Oreochromis niloticus: one gene and its partner. The protein of the gene in region 1 binds, or shares a complex with, the protein of each later gene. Links are inferred from orthologs where the notes say so. Each region holds a gene or a part of one and is shown in the gene's direction. Other genes may lie near its edges.

Region 1 (8,358 bases):
TTGTGTTAATGTTCACCAGTAGATCAAAGCTGATCAAAGTTTGTTGACCCTCCAAGAAGTTTATGTCCGATTAAAGGGAGAGTTTTGGCCTTTTTAATGTTTGTCTGCATTTTTATTTTCTTCCACAGAACGCTGCAAATTCTGATAAGTCTTTTGAAGCACTGCTCAGTCATGTTATCAGTGAGCTCTCGAAGGACAAGAGTGTCTACAAGGTGAACTCTGAAGAAGCAACAATGGTGAGACACTAAAATGACTGCTTAGAGCGTGACTGCCTTCAGGATTACACTCTTTCTCCTCTCTGCCTCTTTCGTTTTCTCTTTAACAATAAATTGCCCATTACCGTGAGAGACAGTGTTCTAATATCTCTACTGATCTCTCTAGGGGAGATATACATCACTGTATTATCAGCAAGCTGTTGGCTGATTATTGATCAGGTGTTACTGCTGTTTCCCTCTCCAGCTGAGCTCCAGTGTGTGGTCCCCGCAGTCTATCGAGTTCAGCCTGCAGCAGTTCTGCCTGCCCTTCCTGCGCCTCTCCTGCCTTTTGCAGCACCACCTGTATGGAGACAACCTAACCGGCTGCTTGGTACGATTCATCATAAATGTCATCCTAAATGTTAAAACTGCCCTTTCAGACTAACTGACGGCAAAGTGGTTTGGCTTCTCACAGGAGGAAGAGGAGTTTGCATCCTTGGCTGTGTGTTTAGGGCTTTTGCCCTCCGCCCCTCAGCCTGCCAACACCGTGCAAAGTGCCTCGTGTCTGGAGTGGCCAGTCAACACCTTTGACTTGGTGACGCAGTGGGGCGCTGAGGTCAAAGGGCTCTCTCAGATACATGCTGAGGAGTCACTGGTATGTTTATGAACTTCTCATTTTTAACAGCGTGCAGTCGAGCAAAGCAAGTAAAGGTTTTTTAAAATGCCAATCAAAAAATACTCACATATTCTATAACAAATACTTGGATTTTAATTTAACTTAATGTGCCACATCTGATTCCTGTATTTAAAGTTTAGTTTTAGCCTTTGTTGTACCTCTCACGTGTGTCTAGCTGACCACGTGTCTTGTGGCCTCCTCTTTTGGGTCAAAGTGTAGTAAGGAGATAAAATCAAGTTCATTGCTGGGTGTCTGTCTTCTCCTCCTCAGACCTTGCTGGTCCATGATCCTCAGTGGGCAGCGCCCCGCCTCCTGCAGCTGCCTGACAACTACAATATCATCTTCCAGTACTATCACAGAAAGGCCTGCTCTGCCTGCAAAAAGGTGCCAAAAGACCCCGCGCTCTGCCTTGTTTGCGGCGCTTTCGTCTGTCTCAAAGGCGTGTGCTGCAAGCAGCAGGGTATCTGTGAATGTGTTTTGGTGAGTTTTCCCGGGTTTATAGTTCCATTTTTATCATCTTCAAAGCATTCTCAGTGAGGCCCAGCATGCAGAATTGACATAGCTGCTTGTTGAAGTTGTCAGCTTTTAGCAAACCTTTTTTTGTCCCCCACACTTGTCACTTTGTAGCACTCCCAACATTGTGGCGCTGCGACAGGCATCTTTCTACTGATAAATGCTTCAGTCATCATCATCATCCGTGGACATCGTTTCTGTCTGTGGGGCTCTGTTTACCTTGATGCACACGGAGAGGAAGATCGGGATTTACGGTAAGACGCATAACACCCAGTCATGAAAGACAACAACTGTACACATCTGTCTTCATCACACTTTTTTGTTAATAGATAGTATAGAGTCTTTAGAGCAACTCTTTAAGTACACTCATAACACTTGGTGTGATTCTAGTATGAATTTAAATGTAGTTCCCTTTTTTTTCCCATCCTTGCTGCTCTCACTCTTGTTTTCCCCCCTCTGGCATATTTCCAGTCGTGGCAAGCCTCTCTACTTATGTGAGGAGCGGTATCGAGTGTTGGAGCAACAGTGGGTTTCACACACCTTTGATCACATCAATAAGCGTTGGGGGCCTCATTATAATGGACTCTAAGATCTTCCAAAGTCCACTGAAAAACCACATCCCATGATGGAGAAGATTTTTTTTTTAGGTTTTTCTTTTTTTAGGGATTTTGTTTTCCTTCTGGCTTATGTGTCTGCCTTGATCAAAATAATTGGAAACTCTTGCTGTGATAAACACAAACATCCAGCGAGGGCTATTTCTGCCACAGCCTTGGTTTATGTGAAGTTTGGTGTACAGTCATGCCTAAAGATTTAACACGTGTGTGTGTTCAAGTGATTTATTGTGTGGTTTTTCTACAGGGAAAAACAGAATTTGGTGAGATTAAAGTAAAAAAGTAAAAAAACAACAAAGAAAAAGCGAGGGAGGGGGGGGGGGGGGGGGGGGGGGATTAAAAAAAAAAAAGCACAAATTTGCCCACAAACTGAATTGGTTTGGATCAGGCTTTTAAAGTCTCTCCAGTTTATTTGGTTTAAAAAACAAAACAAAAAATCAATTGCTGATTGTCCCTGCAATGTTTGATTACTTTTACCACCATTTCTGATGTAAACGCATATCCCTATTATTTATCAAAATGTGCTCTGCTGTGCTGGCATGAGTTTCAAGCTCCTGGTAAGTATAGCAATGTTACTGCAGTGTGCACTCATTGTCTGCTGACATGTGATAGGAGGCAGGACAAGTCCACCCATCAACACACTAGAGTTTATTTTGCTAACAAGCAAAGACTCTTTCTTTTATGGGTCTAGTTGCAATCCATCCTCAGGAATTTTTTTGTTTTTTTTTGTTTTTGCTGAAATATGTTTTAGATATTTAAATAAATGCTGCTGCTCATTGTTCAAGTAATTAATTTTAACTTTGAAGAATTTGTTTTTTTTTTGTTTTTTTCCTAAGGTTGTGTTTTGGGTTTACCGTAGATGGTTGGGAATGTTGACTCAAACTCAGTTTAATGGTTAAGGAGGTGTGCGGTCACCAAATTACACCCACTACACTTTTCATAGCATTGGCCTTTTCACACTGTTTAACTCAAAACTCCACCTTTAAGACACTGAGCTGTCTTAAGCCTCATCATCACCGCCCCCGTATAAACCCAAAGTCTAAACATTGAGGGAAGGCAAAGAGATCTCACCGCGCATCTGGTGTCCTGAGCGTCATGCAAGAGCAAAAATGCTACATCAGTTCTGTCAGAGTGTTCTCTCGAGGTATGAAACTCGGTGGGAGTTGTGTTGCTTCTGTGAGGAGACTGCAGTACTTGTCACTCGTCTTTCTGTGCCATCAGAAAAAGGCTTTCCCTTTACGCTTCTGATTGCCAGGTCATAAACTGCAGTACAGAACATTTATTATTATTATTATCATTATTATTATTATTATTATTATTAACAACTATCTGTTATACATCATGCACCATGTAGTTGTGATTTATAGTTGCATTCCAACATTGCAAGACTATCAGACTTGAGTATCCGTTATACACTGTGCATGACATCCTTTAAGCCACCATTATTTAAGTGTCTTAGCTACTTCATTTTTTGATTATCATCTTTTTTTTTTTCCCTGGAAGAGAAGTTTCATCCAGCCGTGCCTGCAAGATTAAGGGGGCCTATTATGCTTATTTCCAGCTCCATGATTTTAAATGAGACTTCATTAGAGAAACTTTGCTTCTTCACAGTTCACAAGAACATAAAAAGCCCCTTATTTATTATCATTTCTTCTTCTTCTTCTTCTTCTTTAAAATGCCTCTTCAAGCCTCTGTCAGCCTAAAAGCTCACTTTCTTCTGATTGGCTGCCCTTTGCCTGGTGTCCAAAAAAACTAAACCTAGTGCTTGTAAGCTCCGCCTCCTCATCTCACATTCAAAACTGCAGTTCGGCACAAGAGTTGGGAAAACTGTTGTGAACTGAGCAGCTTCAAGGAATTAGCTGTTATTGGCGTCCATCAATGAGCCAGTTTATTTGTAAATGACAGAAAAAGAGAAAAGGCATAATAGGACCCCCCCTTTTTTTTTTAATGCTTACTTACAGTGATCAGCACACAGCTGATATTCCTGATGTCTGGTTTTGAAATGCTGGGTCACATTGTGCTGCATCGCAGAATCTCTAAGGAACAAGTCAACACTTGAAAAACTTCCTCTTGAATTCATGCATGCTGCTTTTGTGTTTTCTCCTGTCTCTTTTATTTTTGTTGTACCCACTTTGTTAATGACCGCAACCAAATAGCCAACGATGGGTGTAAATTGTAACTGAAAGCTTTTGTGTGTTTTCCTGTATGAATGGGGAGAGAATACAGTACATTACTGTAGGTGCTGACTCAAACTTTCTGAGTTTGACCAGAAAGTGTGACTTGGGACATTTAATGCAAAATGTAACATATGTGAATAAAATATAAACACAATGATTTTGTGTCTTTTTTCTTCTTTATGATCATCTTGAACATGAGAGTGATTTCTCTGTACTGGATCTCAATCCAACAGAGCACCTTTGGGATGTGATAGAACAGGAGATTCAAATTAATGATATGTAGTTTAAAAAAAATCTGCAGCCACTCTGCCAGATGCTATCATGTCAGTATGGTCCAAAATCTGTTCTGTTTCCAGAACCTCGTTGAGTTTGTGCCTTGAAGACACATGAAGAGAAGGTCCAACCTGTTACTAGGAAGGTGTGTCACAATGTGTGCATCTACACATCATCAAATATAAGTGACAGGACTAAATTTTCAGCAGACATAACACAAAACTCTAATCAGAGGACTCTAATCTTCCCTAGTAATGATTAAATTAAAGAAAAATATTAAAGTTTTTATCTAATCTTGGCTTACGTCGGTCTTTTTTCACTATTGTGACTTCTAGAGGTAATGTGAATGTTATGACACGTACACCTCTGAGGCTGAACAGCAAATTCTGGAGATACTCATTCAGACTTCACTGTATTATTCCTGCTGTGAGAGGATGCTCCCATCTGGTAGCGCCTTCTCTGGGAGTAGACTGATTTGCAATAATGTTTAGCTAACATTCCCACAGGAAGATTACATTGCAAAGAAATGATGAATGTTATTTACTGTGCTGAGTGAAGAAGCGGTGACTGGTCATTGTGCACCTCAAAATGAAAACTGCAGGTCTTTGGGCCATTGGTGCTCAAATCTGAGGAGGCAGAGTCAGACAGATCTGGTCAAGTTTTCAACAAAGGCAAGAATAGAGGTGCTACAAAAAAAGTTGAATATATTTTAAAATCCAGTACTCAACCATTATCATTATAAAAAAGGAAAACTACAATGCAATTGGAAACAAGTAGCCGTCTGTGCTGGTTTCTCCTTGCACTGCTCCATCTAGTCTCCGGCCCAGTGCTCTGAAAAAGAGGTTTCATTGCCATGTGACTGAGCAGGATAATTGGTCTGAGGCCCTCTGGGTAAAGACCAATGGTCACACAAAGGCTTTGTTTGCTACCAATTAGGCCAAAAGGAAGTAAGAAAAAAAAGTAATCTGCACAGGCTGGGAGTTTTTATGAAGGACACAGCTGAGACCGTGTCACCAGTGTCAGGCTGGGAGATGCTACTGTTACAGACCGTCCTCCGGGGGGCATCACTCGACATCTCCTTCTTTTCCCCCCACGCAGGTAAGTAAAACGCTGCTCCCCAGAGCATGAATAGACTATTCAAGGTTACATCAGGTGATACTGGTCAGCCAGTTAACCGCTTCCGGTCTGCAGGACAACATGCTCAGGTGTCCATACTGTTAATAATTAAAGTCTTTGCTGAATAAACAGGGAAATTACTTCGCATATGTTGCTATGGACGGTAAGCTGGGTCTAAAGAGTTGATTCAGACAGTGTGCTTTAGGCCTTTATTAAACTCACACGGAGATGGAGATGCAGCTGTGCAGTGATGCTCTGTCTTAAACAGTTTCCTCTTTTGCAGATGACAGAGATGAAAATACTGAGGCGACAATGTCGAGGTAGGTAACGAGACTCCTCATCTGTAGCTCTGCTAAAAAGAAAATGCACAGCCCTAAACCTTAAATCTGGATATCTTTAATCACTGTGTCAGTTTGGTTTTACTGTACTCTGTGAAATACTGTAAACCAGCAATCATTCAGTGAAGAAACCGGAAGTTAGATGAAAAAAAAAGTTAAATAGGCTACATTATGATAGTTATGCAAAAATCGCAATATATACAACATTTTTGTGTTTTACAATCACTTTAGCTTAAAATGCTCATTTTTTTCTTTTTTTTCTCTTTGTCTCTGTTCATTACCACAGTGGATTTAAGGCAAAAATAATAATGATGTGAAATGTACACTTCCATCTTTAGTACAGAAGCTTCATCACACTCTGAATTTCCTTCTTTTATAGGCTTTGCCAGACCTACACCACCTTCAGTTTTTCTTTACTTAGTGAAAGACGTGGTCAGGTGACTGACTCTGATGTTTAAGAGTATTCTCTTTATTGGCATTAAGAAGCATTGGGCTTGAGCAGAGGTCCATGCATTTAAGAAGCTGTCCTGCTTCTAGTCAATAAACATCAGTGACCCAGTTCAGTCGGCAGCCAAACAGGCCCATGCTGCCACACCACCTCCTCTGTGTTTTCAAGGGGTCTGTTTTGGATCACAAGCCCGTTTGAGTCTTGTTTTCCCATCATTGTGTACAAGTTTCATTGGTCCAAAGAATTTCTTTTAGAACTTGATGTTTTCCAGCGACTATTTTGGCATGTTGTTTGCATCTCTTTAATTGTAGACTTTCACAATAAATACACCAAAAGCCTCAGAACTGCTGTTGATTTGGTTAGATGCTGTGAAGTGGTTTTCCAAGTAAAAGATTCTGTAATCACCCTCTTTACTGCATTGTTGATTTGGCCACTTCTGAAGCTTCCTGTCTCTCTGATAGGTCCGTTTGGTATTTTTCTGCCTTATGGTAGCCTTCTTTAGCCTTCTTTACTTAGTCTGATGCCTCTTATTGTCTCTATGTTATGAATTCTCATTCTCAACAGCTGCCAAACTTAAACAATTGGAATCAACTCCAGACTTTATATGCCAATAATGTGGAAACAGACTACACATGGCTTAAAGCTGCATGTAAACCTGTTTCTTAAACCCCTTGAATTAAAGTTTAAAGTGTACAATTAAATCACTTGCTGATTACATCATGTGTTGGTGTCCATACACAACACTGTGTGAAACACTTAAAGACCTGACTTTAGGTAATACATTATTAGAGTAACACTAAAGAAAAAAGCAATGGGTCACCTACACATTACATCAACAGGAGCTGCTTGGCCATGAAGCTCCCAGCACACAGTTTTGGTGCTGATGTTAATGCCAAATGAGTACAGAGCTATGGAGTCATCAGAGCATTGGCAACTTTTACACACTGTCCGCCTCACTCAACCCCTGTAAACTTTACGTGGTTTGCTTGTCATGCCTACATGTTTTCCACTTTGCAGTAATATCGCGTACAATAGATCAATTGAATATCTAGGAGGGAAGAAATTTCACAAACTGACTGACGATTGACCAAAACAAATGTACGAACAAAAAATTGCTTCCCTGCTACGATTGCAGATGCTTTTTCATTCAGTTATGTTGCATTTAAATGGTAGCACTGCCATACTCACATCCATCACAGTGACACAGCTGTGGTGTTTGTGATTATATGACTGAGGTTAATTTATAATTAATTATAAATAAGAAATTATAATTCATTTAAGACTGATTACTTAGATGATGATGGTGCCTTTTTGTTAATACGGTTGATGCTTTGTGTATCCAAAGATGTCAATCAGGGATCATTAATCATGCAGGTGCACCGCTAAGATTAAAGATGTTAATGTTTAAAATAAATGCATTTGTCTCTGCTCATGTGAGGCTTTGGCCTTTCAGGGTGAGAACAAGGGCGAAATGCTTCAGGCCTGACTCATGGCTAGTGGAGGTTTACCGTAAAGCCTCTTCATATCCCCTTAAAAGGGATTATTGGTTTTTTTCCCCTCTCCATAGACTTACCAAAGGGGTTTACCCAGCGGACTTCCCATAAGGCTCTGCCACAGAGGGTGGAATTGTGCGAGTTTGATGGAAGCAGAAAATTAGATTACTGCCTTTCACTCTGTACTGTTTCTGGTGACAAAGATGTGCTGCAGCCGGTCACGTCACGTACAGCTGTTACCGCCTCAGACCTAGACTTAGCATTATGTAGATGCACAGAAAATGTGCCCGATGAGCAAAGGCAGAGCAGGGTAGTTATTCCAAATATGATCACCGTGATACTATGTACATATTCCTGTTTTGTAACAGAAAATACCGTGTACCACTGTGTATCAGACACAGCATCCCTTTTTTCAGCTGTGCTGATAAGAATAGTAAACAAAGGGTAACCTGAGCACTGCAATCGAAGAGCAGCGGTGTCCTGTTCTTAAGCGCTATTTCACTGCATCTCCTGCCCATT
Region 2 (8,485 bases), on another chromosome or scaffold:
AAACCTCGTGTTCTAAAAGTGCGCTCAATACAACCTCAGCCATCAGACTGACTACACGGGACTTGATCCACGAGCACAGGATCGGCGTGTCACACGTGGTATGTTTTTCATTTTCAATTTAAACATACCCTTTATGATTATAAAATATATAGATAAATGTTAGATACAGTGTAGTAGTGTGGCTTTTCGTAGGAGATCTCAGCTATTTATAATAACATTTGTCTGCTGCTGTTTTATTATAATGGATGTATATATTTGAGATATTTGGTGTCACTATTTGAAGAAGACTGTGTTGTTTGCGCCGTAGTGTTTGGCCAACAAGCTGACACCTATAACTAAAGCTGTTATAACACGTGACCATGGGGTTTTACAATACTGCAGATTATCATTAACAATGCTTGCAAAGGAACCTGGGAGTCCATCTTTTGAGTTAGTTCAATTATGTTTATCTGCAGCAGAATAATATAACTGAGCTTAACTTTGAAAATAAGCTTTTCTTTTTATTCGACTTTTATCACTAGAGCATCAGAGTGCTGCCAAGGCCTTTTTGATTTTTTTTGCTGCAGATGTTGCATTGTTAAAGCTCCTGTCTTGTCAAATTAGTTGTCCTGTTTCTGTCCGGCACTAATGACCCTGAGTGTGAGAAACTCTGACCGCAGATATTCTCACTGCAGCTCACGGATGACTGGGTCGCTGTGGAGCAGACATCAGGGCTGCAGGGTAAGTTCAAGGGGACACAAGACTTCTACGTTTTGTCTCAAAGGCTGTGAGAACTACAGTAAAGGAAGTTTAAAGAAAGGAACTTTAGCAATATGATGGTAGGACTTGTCATAATGCCTTATGCTTAATATTTCTAAAAGTGCATTGTTCCAGGTATAATAATGCAAATTATTCGATAACCATTACTATGATAAAGAATGCAGATTATCTCTTAGGGTCTTACATGCCTGGAGCTTATTAGTCTGAGAAGAAAAATGTATAATTTTACACAACATCTGTGCTCAACCGCAGATGTTATAGAGTAAAAACTCATTTATATATGTTCAAACTGCAGGTGCACTCATATTTAGATTAAAAATAGGAACATTATAAAGGAATTACATCCTTTATGTCTTTAGAGCACAAATGTTCATATTTTCTAAATATATGTTGTAGCACAGACTTAAGCTGCAGAAAACTGACGTTTTTATCAATATAGGCCTATACAAAAACTTGCAGCTACAAATACAAAAGGTTTGTTGTTAATTTAAATATCTGGAGTATGCTTTATTTCTCATTACTATAATAATTCAATCTATGCATTGTATTAACTTTTTAATGCCTGATATATGGGACGTTATATAAACAATATGCCAGTCAAACCGAGAAAGAAAGAAAGAAAGAAAGAAAGAAAGAAAGAAAGAAAGAAAGAAAGAAAGAAAGAAAGAAAGAAAGAAAGAAGGCGTTTTGGGGATGGGAGAATGGAAAAGAATAAAGTATTTTCCTCGCTTTGTGTGTGTTGGTCTTCTTTCAGCAAATAAAGTTTATTTTTGTCTGGTGTCTTTTTTATGAACAGTAATCTTGCCGCAGTCCTTTTGTGGGTTCTTTTTTATATTAGCCTACATAATTACGTTGTTTATTTGGGAAATTTAGATTTGACACGATGATAATAAAGGCACACCTGTGTCTGTGGTTGAGCATGCCCTGCTGCACACCGGAGGCCCCTTCCCTGCACGCGCCCGAGTTTATCCAATCCAAAGCAATTCCTCTGTGGCACGCGCCGACCAGCAGGCTGGACAGGGAGCTATTACTCTGGCATATAGCCTAGTTATAAACGGGCTTTCAAAACTGCACCTCCTCACACGGAAAACTGAGACTGAAAACTGAATGAATATATGGTGGCTTTAATAAAGATAATAACGCATTTATCTTCAGTAGGTTAAAATGGTCAAGATAAAGTTACATTTTCCAGTATTTAAAGATGAATTTCCCCCTTTTTTCATAAAAAAGAAGTGTACTATCTGTGGCAGTCACTGACCACAGTAAACTCTCACGTCTAGATTATTTTGGGATCTTATTGTGTCAGAAATACTGAATTTTTCGGTTGTTGGGTTACAAGAGGTTGGTCCGAACTTGGTAGAGAATATCTCATTTAAATGTTCCCGCGTAGCAGCAGATGTGAACACACAATAGGTTAGATGGGGCCCACGCTCTGAATAATCGAGTCCAATTTGAATAACTGTCGCACTTCTGACGCGTGCAAGAAATATCCCAGCTTTCCCAGGCTCTGAGGGAGGGGGGAAACCGTTGGCAGCTTCTTTCCAGTTCAATGGGGATTTGGCTCCTCGCTGGTTGAGGTTGTTGGAATGTCTTTTAACAGTCCCTGGGAAAAGACTCCACAATTTCCTACACTTGATTAAACCCTGTGTTAGACCGATAATCAAAAGCTACAGCTGCAGCACAAAAGTACCCCGTCTTTTGCGTCTAGAGTCCACATACCAAAGTGGGAAATAATAAGCCCAAAACAAGGAGATGGATTAGTGTGGCAGTCAAATAATCTATACCGTATTTAATAAACGGGCAATTTAATTTTAGTGAGTAGCTAGAAGTTGAATACTCTCCTATAAAAAGGTCGACAGTTTTTTAAACTGTGGGTTTCGTGATAAATAAAAAATAAACTTTATTCAGATTCAGCTGAGGTTACATTCAGTTGAAGGTCATTATTTTTTCCCTGTGAGTCACAGCAGTGTGTCTGAAAATAAACAAACAGTGGTAGCGTATGGAAATGTGCGAAGATTTAATAGTGCCCATAAAACGACCACAATGTGCTTTGCTTCCGAGCTAACGGACTTGTTCCACATATATGTACTTTAGGCTGAGCTAAAAATCTTCTGGGTTAAATGGCCTCTCCTCCCCCCTCGTTTACCACCATTACTGTCCTCTGTCCTCTGGGGATTTGTAGTTAGCACGCTCGTGGGAATTCCCCCCTCCTCCTCCTTCAAATTGGCGCGCGGTGTCCATGACAGTTGGACCTGTGAGACAGATGGGGCGAAGAGGCACGCGCCGAGCACGAGACTCGCCCATACCCCCCGCCACCACCTCCTCCAAATACTCAGCAGTGAAACCACCCGCATCCCGCAGAAGTTGCCTGAGCGGAAAAATCAATCAACCTAGTCTGGCAGAAAGTTAACCTGGTGTGAAGCTTCATTATTTTTCAACATTTGCTCCACATCTAATCATTTAAATACCCTTTAAGCACACTCTAGTTATAGGCTGTAACTATAGCATGCACAGTCCTATTTGAATCCTGCTCTGGCAGTGTATACCAAGGCTGTATGTTTACAAAGCAGTTAGGGGAGCATATTTCTGAGTTTTGCTTATTTTTAAAGATAAAAATTAAGACTTTCAAATTTGTCGTTTTTTAGATGTTTTATCTGTGTCGTCCGGTGTGCAAGCTTATTTAAATGTGTAATTTTTCAAATAACTTGACGCATGAACACCTGTACCAGGTGGAGATAAGCTGCAGAATACAAGGCTTTCCTGCCACCGTTTGGTGATGAAATGTATTACATTTCGTTGCAATATGTTCATAGAAATACAGACAGCCCGTCTGGATCATTTGCATTGAAACTTGACCTTTGAAACTTTTGTTGAAACTGTCAGTAAGGCGACGTAGAAGATAATCTACACCAACATGTGCTTCTATACCTTATTGAGGTATAGCTGCTAAACGTTTAAAGTAGGTAGCTTTTCCACACTATGGACAAGAGTACTGAACATCTACACATTACACCTACAGGAGCTGCTCAGCCCATGCCATTGAGCTCCCGGTACAGATTTTGTGCTGACTGTAATGCCAGAGCAGGTTCGCAGCCCTGCAGTTATTGGGTCAGTCGAGCTTTGGAGACTTTTACTCAATATGCGCCTCAGTACTCAGCGACCCTACTCCATAACTTTACTTGGTCTGAAACTTTATGTCTTAGTTGCTGAGTTTCCTTCAAATTTGCAGTTAAACCACTTACAGTTAGTTGATCGTTAAACATCTTCCATAGGGGGAAATATCAAAACATTTCAATGGCATCCTATCACTAATCCTGCTCCAGAAAGACCCATTTTTTCACAAATATTTGCAAAGTCAGAGTGCGTGGCTAGGTGCTTGATTACTGAACACACATGAATTCAAAGATGTGTGTGTGTGTGTGTGTGTGTGTGTGTGTGTGTGTGTGCGTGCGTGCGTGCGTGCGTGCGTGTGTGTGTGTGATCAAAAAGGTGTGGCTCAATGCGTTTTCTCCATAAAGTGCACGTAGGTTGGACTTCAGCAGCGTTGGAATACACATTTGCATTCTTATATGTAATGCAATAAATAAATAAAGAAAGAAAGAATAGAATAAAATCATAAATTGCTTTTGCAATCTTGCACTCATTCATTGTGCATTCATTATCATGAATATTTACTTTGTCCAAATGCAAAGAAAAACAAAAAACAGTCCCGTATCTGTGCAACACGTTATAACTTGCCATCAGCATTTTTTTTTCATTAAGGGGATGCTAATTTGAGCTATTTTATTTCATGTTTGGCACCCAAACAATGAAACACACATCACTGGCGTAAGTGCACTAAAATGCATAAACGATCATTAGGCCGCAGGATACGACTACTTCTCATGATTTATCCGGTTTCAATATCACGCATTTATTCCTCAGAAATAACTTGCTCATCTTTTAATGTGGTATCATTTAAGATGTATAACTATTTCCAATTGACGTATTAACATGCGGTCTATAATGACAATCAATATAATTACTTTTTTTTCATCTCAGTGAGGAACCGACTTTTATTGGGACAATATATTGGCTCGGTGCCGAAAAAAAGCAGTATGTGTTCAAGAGTAACATTTGAAAAACTGAGAAAGGAAAAAGCAGGTCTAGTGACAGCTTACCTGTGAATTTCTACAGCCTGGTTATGCGCTCACCCAATAAAAAAAAACAAACAACAACGTTATTTTGGGGGGTGGGGGGGTTAAACTTCTGCGAAAGGCCACTAGATGGACCTCTGGAGTGCAAAAGTATGCTCTGGTCCTGTGATACTGATTTCACTGCCACATGTAATATTAATGCTGTTTGCAAACAGGATCTGGGGTGTGTTCACAAAGTCCATTGCTGAATTAATGTTTCCTTGTGGGTCTATCTTGACTGACAGCGACGAGCACCTTCACCCTAGCAGCATAATTAATGTATATCCAGAGTTGTAAGTAGCATGTACGTACTGCTCCTTTAATTTCTGAGCCGATTTCCAGAAAGCAGCAACCTGTAACAGGCTCAGTGATCCTCCCCCTGATGGATTATTTAACAGGCGCTGAGTCGTCCCATGTCGCCATCTGCTATAGGAAGAAAAACACAGCGGAATATTCCCTGGGGCGCATGATACGCGATAGTTATTCAGCAGCGAAAAAAAGGTTAATAAACTAATGTTTGGGGGAAAGATAGTTTAGACCGGCTGGTAACCCAGAACACAACTTGTGCAACAGGTGGATGCTATTGGAGACAGCAGAAGCGGATAACCTACTGAGCTACAACGTCGGGCCAGACAAAGCCTAAGAAAGAGGTTAGTTTGTCAGTCGGGTATGAAGTTTTACTTCAGCATGTAAATATTGCACTACCTGGAAAAAAACAACTAATGAACGATAAAGGGATCTTGCATTTGAACAGCGCTTTGGGAAGACCCATGGAGCGATAACTGAGCGTCTCTCCCACCACCACCCCACCCCAAAATTAACTAGGCTACTGACATGATCCACTCATTTATAAATACAGCTCTGACCCTATCCGCACTATCTGCACGGTGATCGGGTCAACGGAGTCAACCAAAGGAAGGAAGGAGACGCGCAATCTGCAGCAGTCATGGTGGTGGAGGGTGACAAGACCCTGCTGGCCGCAAGGCAGGGGGACGTGCAGACTTTGAAAGTGCAATTAGCGGCAAATGCGCTGACCAGCGACGTCAAGGATGCGCTGGGAGCTTCGCCCGTCCACCACGCAGCCCGGGCGGGGAAGTTAGCCTGCCTGCGGTTTTTGGTGGAGGAGGCAGGGCTGCCGAGCGATTCTGTGGCAAATAACGGGGCAAGCCCGGCGCACGACGCAGCAGCAACCGGCAACCTGACATGCCTACAGTGGCTACTGACCCAAGGTGGATGTCGGCCAGAGGTGAGTTACTACAGTTGTAGCTGGATCGGTCTAAAAGTGTAGCAGACAGTAGCCTAACTCTGCTTCATCCGACTTGGCTGTCATTTCTCATCTGTGGAGCCTACTCCAACCTCCCTTTGAATCAGCTCTCCTCCTTAAAGCACATTGCATCTATTTTAGTGCCTTAAACCTACACGTTTTTCCTAACATACACATTAAAATCCTTCTCCTTAAGAATAAAGTCCTTAAGCTTTTATTTTAACATAACCTTCTGTGGGGTTTGCGGGTTGTTTTGTGTCACTGTCAGGTATTTTGCTCCCAAGTCCATTTGGTGTGCTCTAAATGTCCTGATGATGTTGTTAATTCTCTTGTAATCTTTAAAGTTTTGACTATAAAAGCAGAAGGTTTAAAAACCCACTGGTGTTTTGAAAAAAACGGACCTTCCCCTTTCACAAGGCACTGAAAGTTGTTTTCATGTTGTTTTGGTAAGGTACTGAAATGCAACAAATTCAAACACTGTTGTAGGTATGAAAGAAATCACATTAAATACCTGCAGTATAGTAAGTACACAGAAAATACTATCAACTATAGGGCACTGGAAATGGTGTACAATTAGACTTTTTCTTTTTTAATTTAAGGCTAAAAACCTAGTTTTCACTGTTATGTCATGTTTCTATGGTAATAAAGTATGCAAAACTGGATTTGCAAATCCAATATCTTCTGTATAGTAAAAACAGTGACTCACAAAAGGCACAAAAAGAAACACATAATGACAGTGTAGTTTGATATTATAATGAGGGGTGGTGTTTGGTGCTGTAAGGACTGAAGTTTCACATGATGAAATAAATCTTATTAACCCTTTTGACCTTTTATTGTTCCTATTTGTGCACATGGTGTTTTCTCACCTGGGAAGGAGTCATAGTAAAAGCTCCAACACAATAACATAATCCATACCATAAGTATTCAGTGGGTTTCTCGTTTTTTCTTATTAGGTAATACATTAAATCTCTCAGCTTTAATTTGTGTAGGTTTCCACCAATACTAAAAAGCCTGTTTGAGGAGTTTTATATCCCTCTTAACACAGTTCTCCGGCAGCTGTGCGTCTTTTTAGTGCTCATGCACATAAGAGCTGATGGAGACTGGTGAGTTGACATTTAGACTCATGTGGAGTTGTCTGCTGATATTAAGAATAAAGTGTTGACAGTGTCACTAAAGAAACCACTGGACCCACAAAACAATGAGACTCAAAAAGCACAACTCTGTCAAAGAGGTATCAAAGATGCCTTGTAAAAATAAAAATTAGACTTCAGTTGAAAAAAATAGGAACACAGGAGCAGAAATCTTGTGAATAAGTGCAAAATCCACTCGAGAATGATCTCAGGGCATATTTTTGCTTTATTTGAATCTCAGACGATTCTTAAATCGATTTGTCTTTTACTATTTAACTCTCAAAATCTGGACACCTCGTAAAGGTTATTCTATATTGATATAATTCTTTTCAAATTGAAGCTGAGCATTGCCTTATGTATAATTTCTCATGAAATACAGATATCCAGATACAGATTTACATTTTGGCATGGTCCTAATTTACAACACTTAAATGTATAAACACATAAAAGTTATTCTTGTATATACTTTGTAGTATACTGCATATTCCTGCATATTCCAGAAAGATACACAGATGTCTATCCGTTGTGCCCTTAATAGGAAATTCAGTTTTAGAGTTTACCAATATGATAATGAAGAGGAGGAGGAGGAGGAGCTTTGCTTGACTCACCCATGGGTCTGATTTATCTTCACCTTCTTGAGCAGAGGTAAAAGCGAAACTGACAAAGTGACAAATCCATATTATGTCTTGAGTACAACACAGTTCTACAACCCAGCAGTATTAAGTTATCCACGTGAAGAACAGTCATAAGCACTCTGTCGTCAAGTGACAAACAGTGCCCACAAATGAACTGACAAGATACTTGACTGGTATGTAGTCAAAGCTCTCAGTTACCACTTGCACTACAGTACACTTGAGTGCTGGCTTTCACTTTTGTTTTCTTTTTTCTTGTTTGTGTTTCAAAACTATTATCATGAGTCTACTTGATGCTAACACCATTAGTCTGTAGCAGTGCACTACCTCAGACCTAAGCATCTGTGTTAGTAAGATGTTAACAGATGACATGTCTGTTCAAGGACCACACAAGTTTGGTCTTTTAGGTTTTCTGTGTTAGCTATTGGTCTGCCTCTTGTTAAAGCTAATTGTTTTATAGCACTGAGAGCAATTCTGTGCTTGATATTCTTGCTACTGTGGTAATTTGTGAAGGTTTTTTATTTA

What was found.
Region 2: the proteins of myo3b (region 1) and espn are in contact, whole or in part, in a crystal structure (PDB 5ET1), measured with the Mus musculus proteins. The link is inferred for Oreochromis niloticus from reciprocal best matches to the Homo sapiens genes MYO3B and ESPN. Residues at the interface, in XP_017174528.1 of Mus musculus: Arg1223, Arg1224, Gln1226, Gln1227, Pro1228, Lys1229, Met1230, Leu1231, Ser1232, Ser1233, Asp1236, Thr1237, Met1238, Tyr1239, Tyr1240, Asn1241, Gln1242, Leu1243; in NP_997570.1 of Mus musculus: Leu35, Ala37, His41, Arg45, Ala67, Asn69, Ala71, His75, Asp76, Ala79, Thr80, Asp101, Ser103, Leu110, Arg113, Phe114, Thr135, Thr137, Ala139, His143, Tyr144, Ala147, Thr169, Asn171, Tyr177, Leu178, Gln181, Ala203, Asp205, Met207.

The regions. Positions count from the first base shown.
Region 1 is NC_031987.2:16,099,343-16,107,700, forward strand, and holds the start of myo3b (myosin-IIIb), read left to right. Parts: upstream 1-5,293; 5' UTR 5,294-5,430; coding exon 5,431-5,542; intron 5,543-5,624; exon of another isoform or gene 5,625-5,716; coding exon of another isoform or gene 5,717-5,723; intron 5,724-5,843; coding exon 5,844-5,880; intron 5,881-8,358. Other genes in the region: E3 ubiquitin-protein ligase ubr3, read left to right, coding at 129-236, 460-585, 670-849, 1,141-1,350, 1,498-1,637, 1,855-1,972.
Region 2 is NC_031984.2:24,122,214-24,130,698, forward strand, and holds the start of espn (espin), read left to right. Parts: upstream 1-5,132; 5' UTR 5,133-5,880; coding exon 5,881-6,180; intron 6,181-8,485. UniProt on the Homo sapiens protein: Multifunctional actin-bundling protein. Plays a major role in regulating the organization, dimension, dynamics and signaling capacities of the actin filament-rich microvilli in the mechanosensory and chemosensory cells.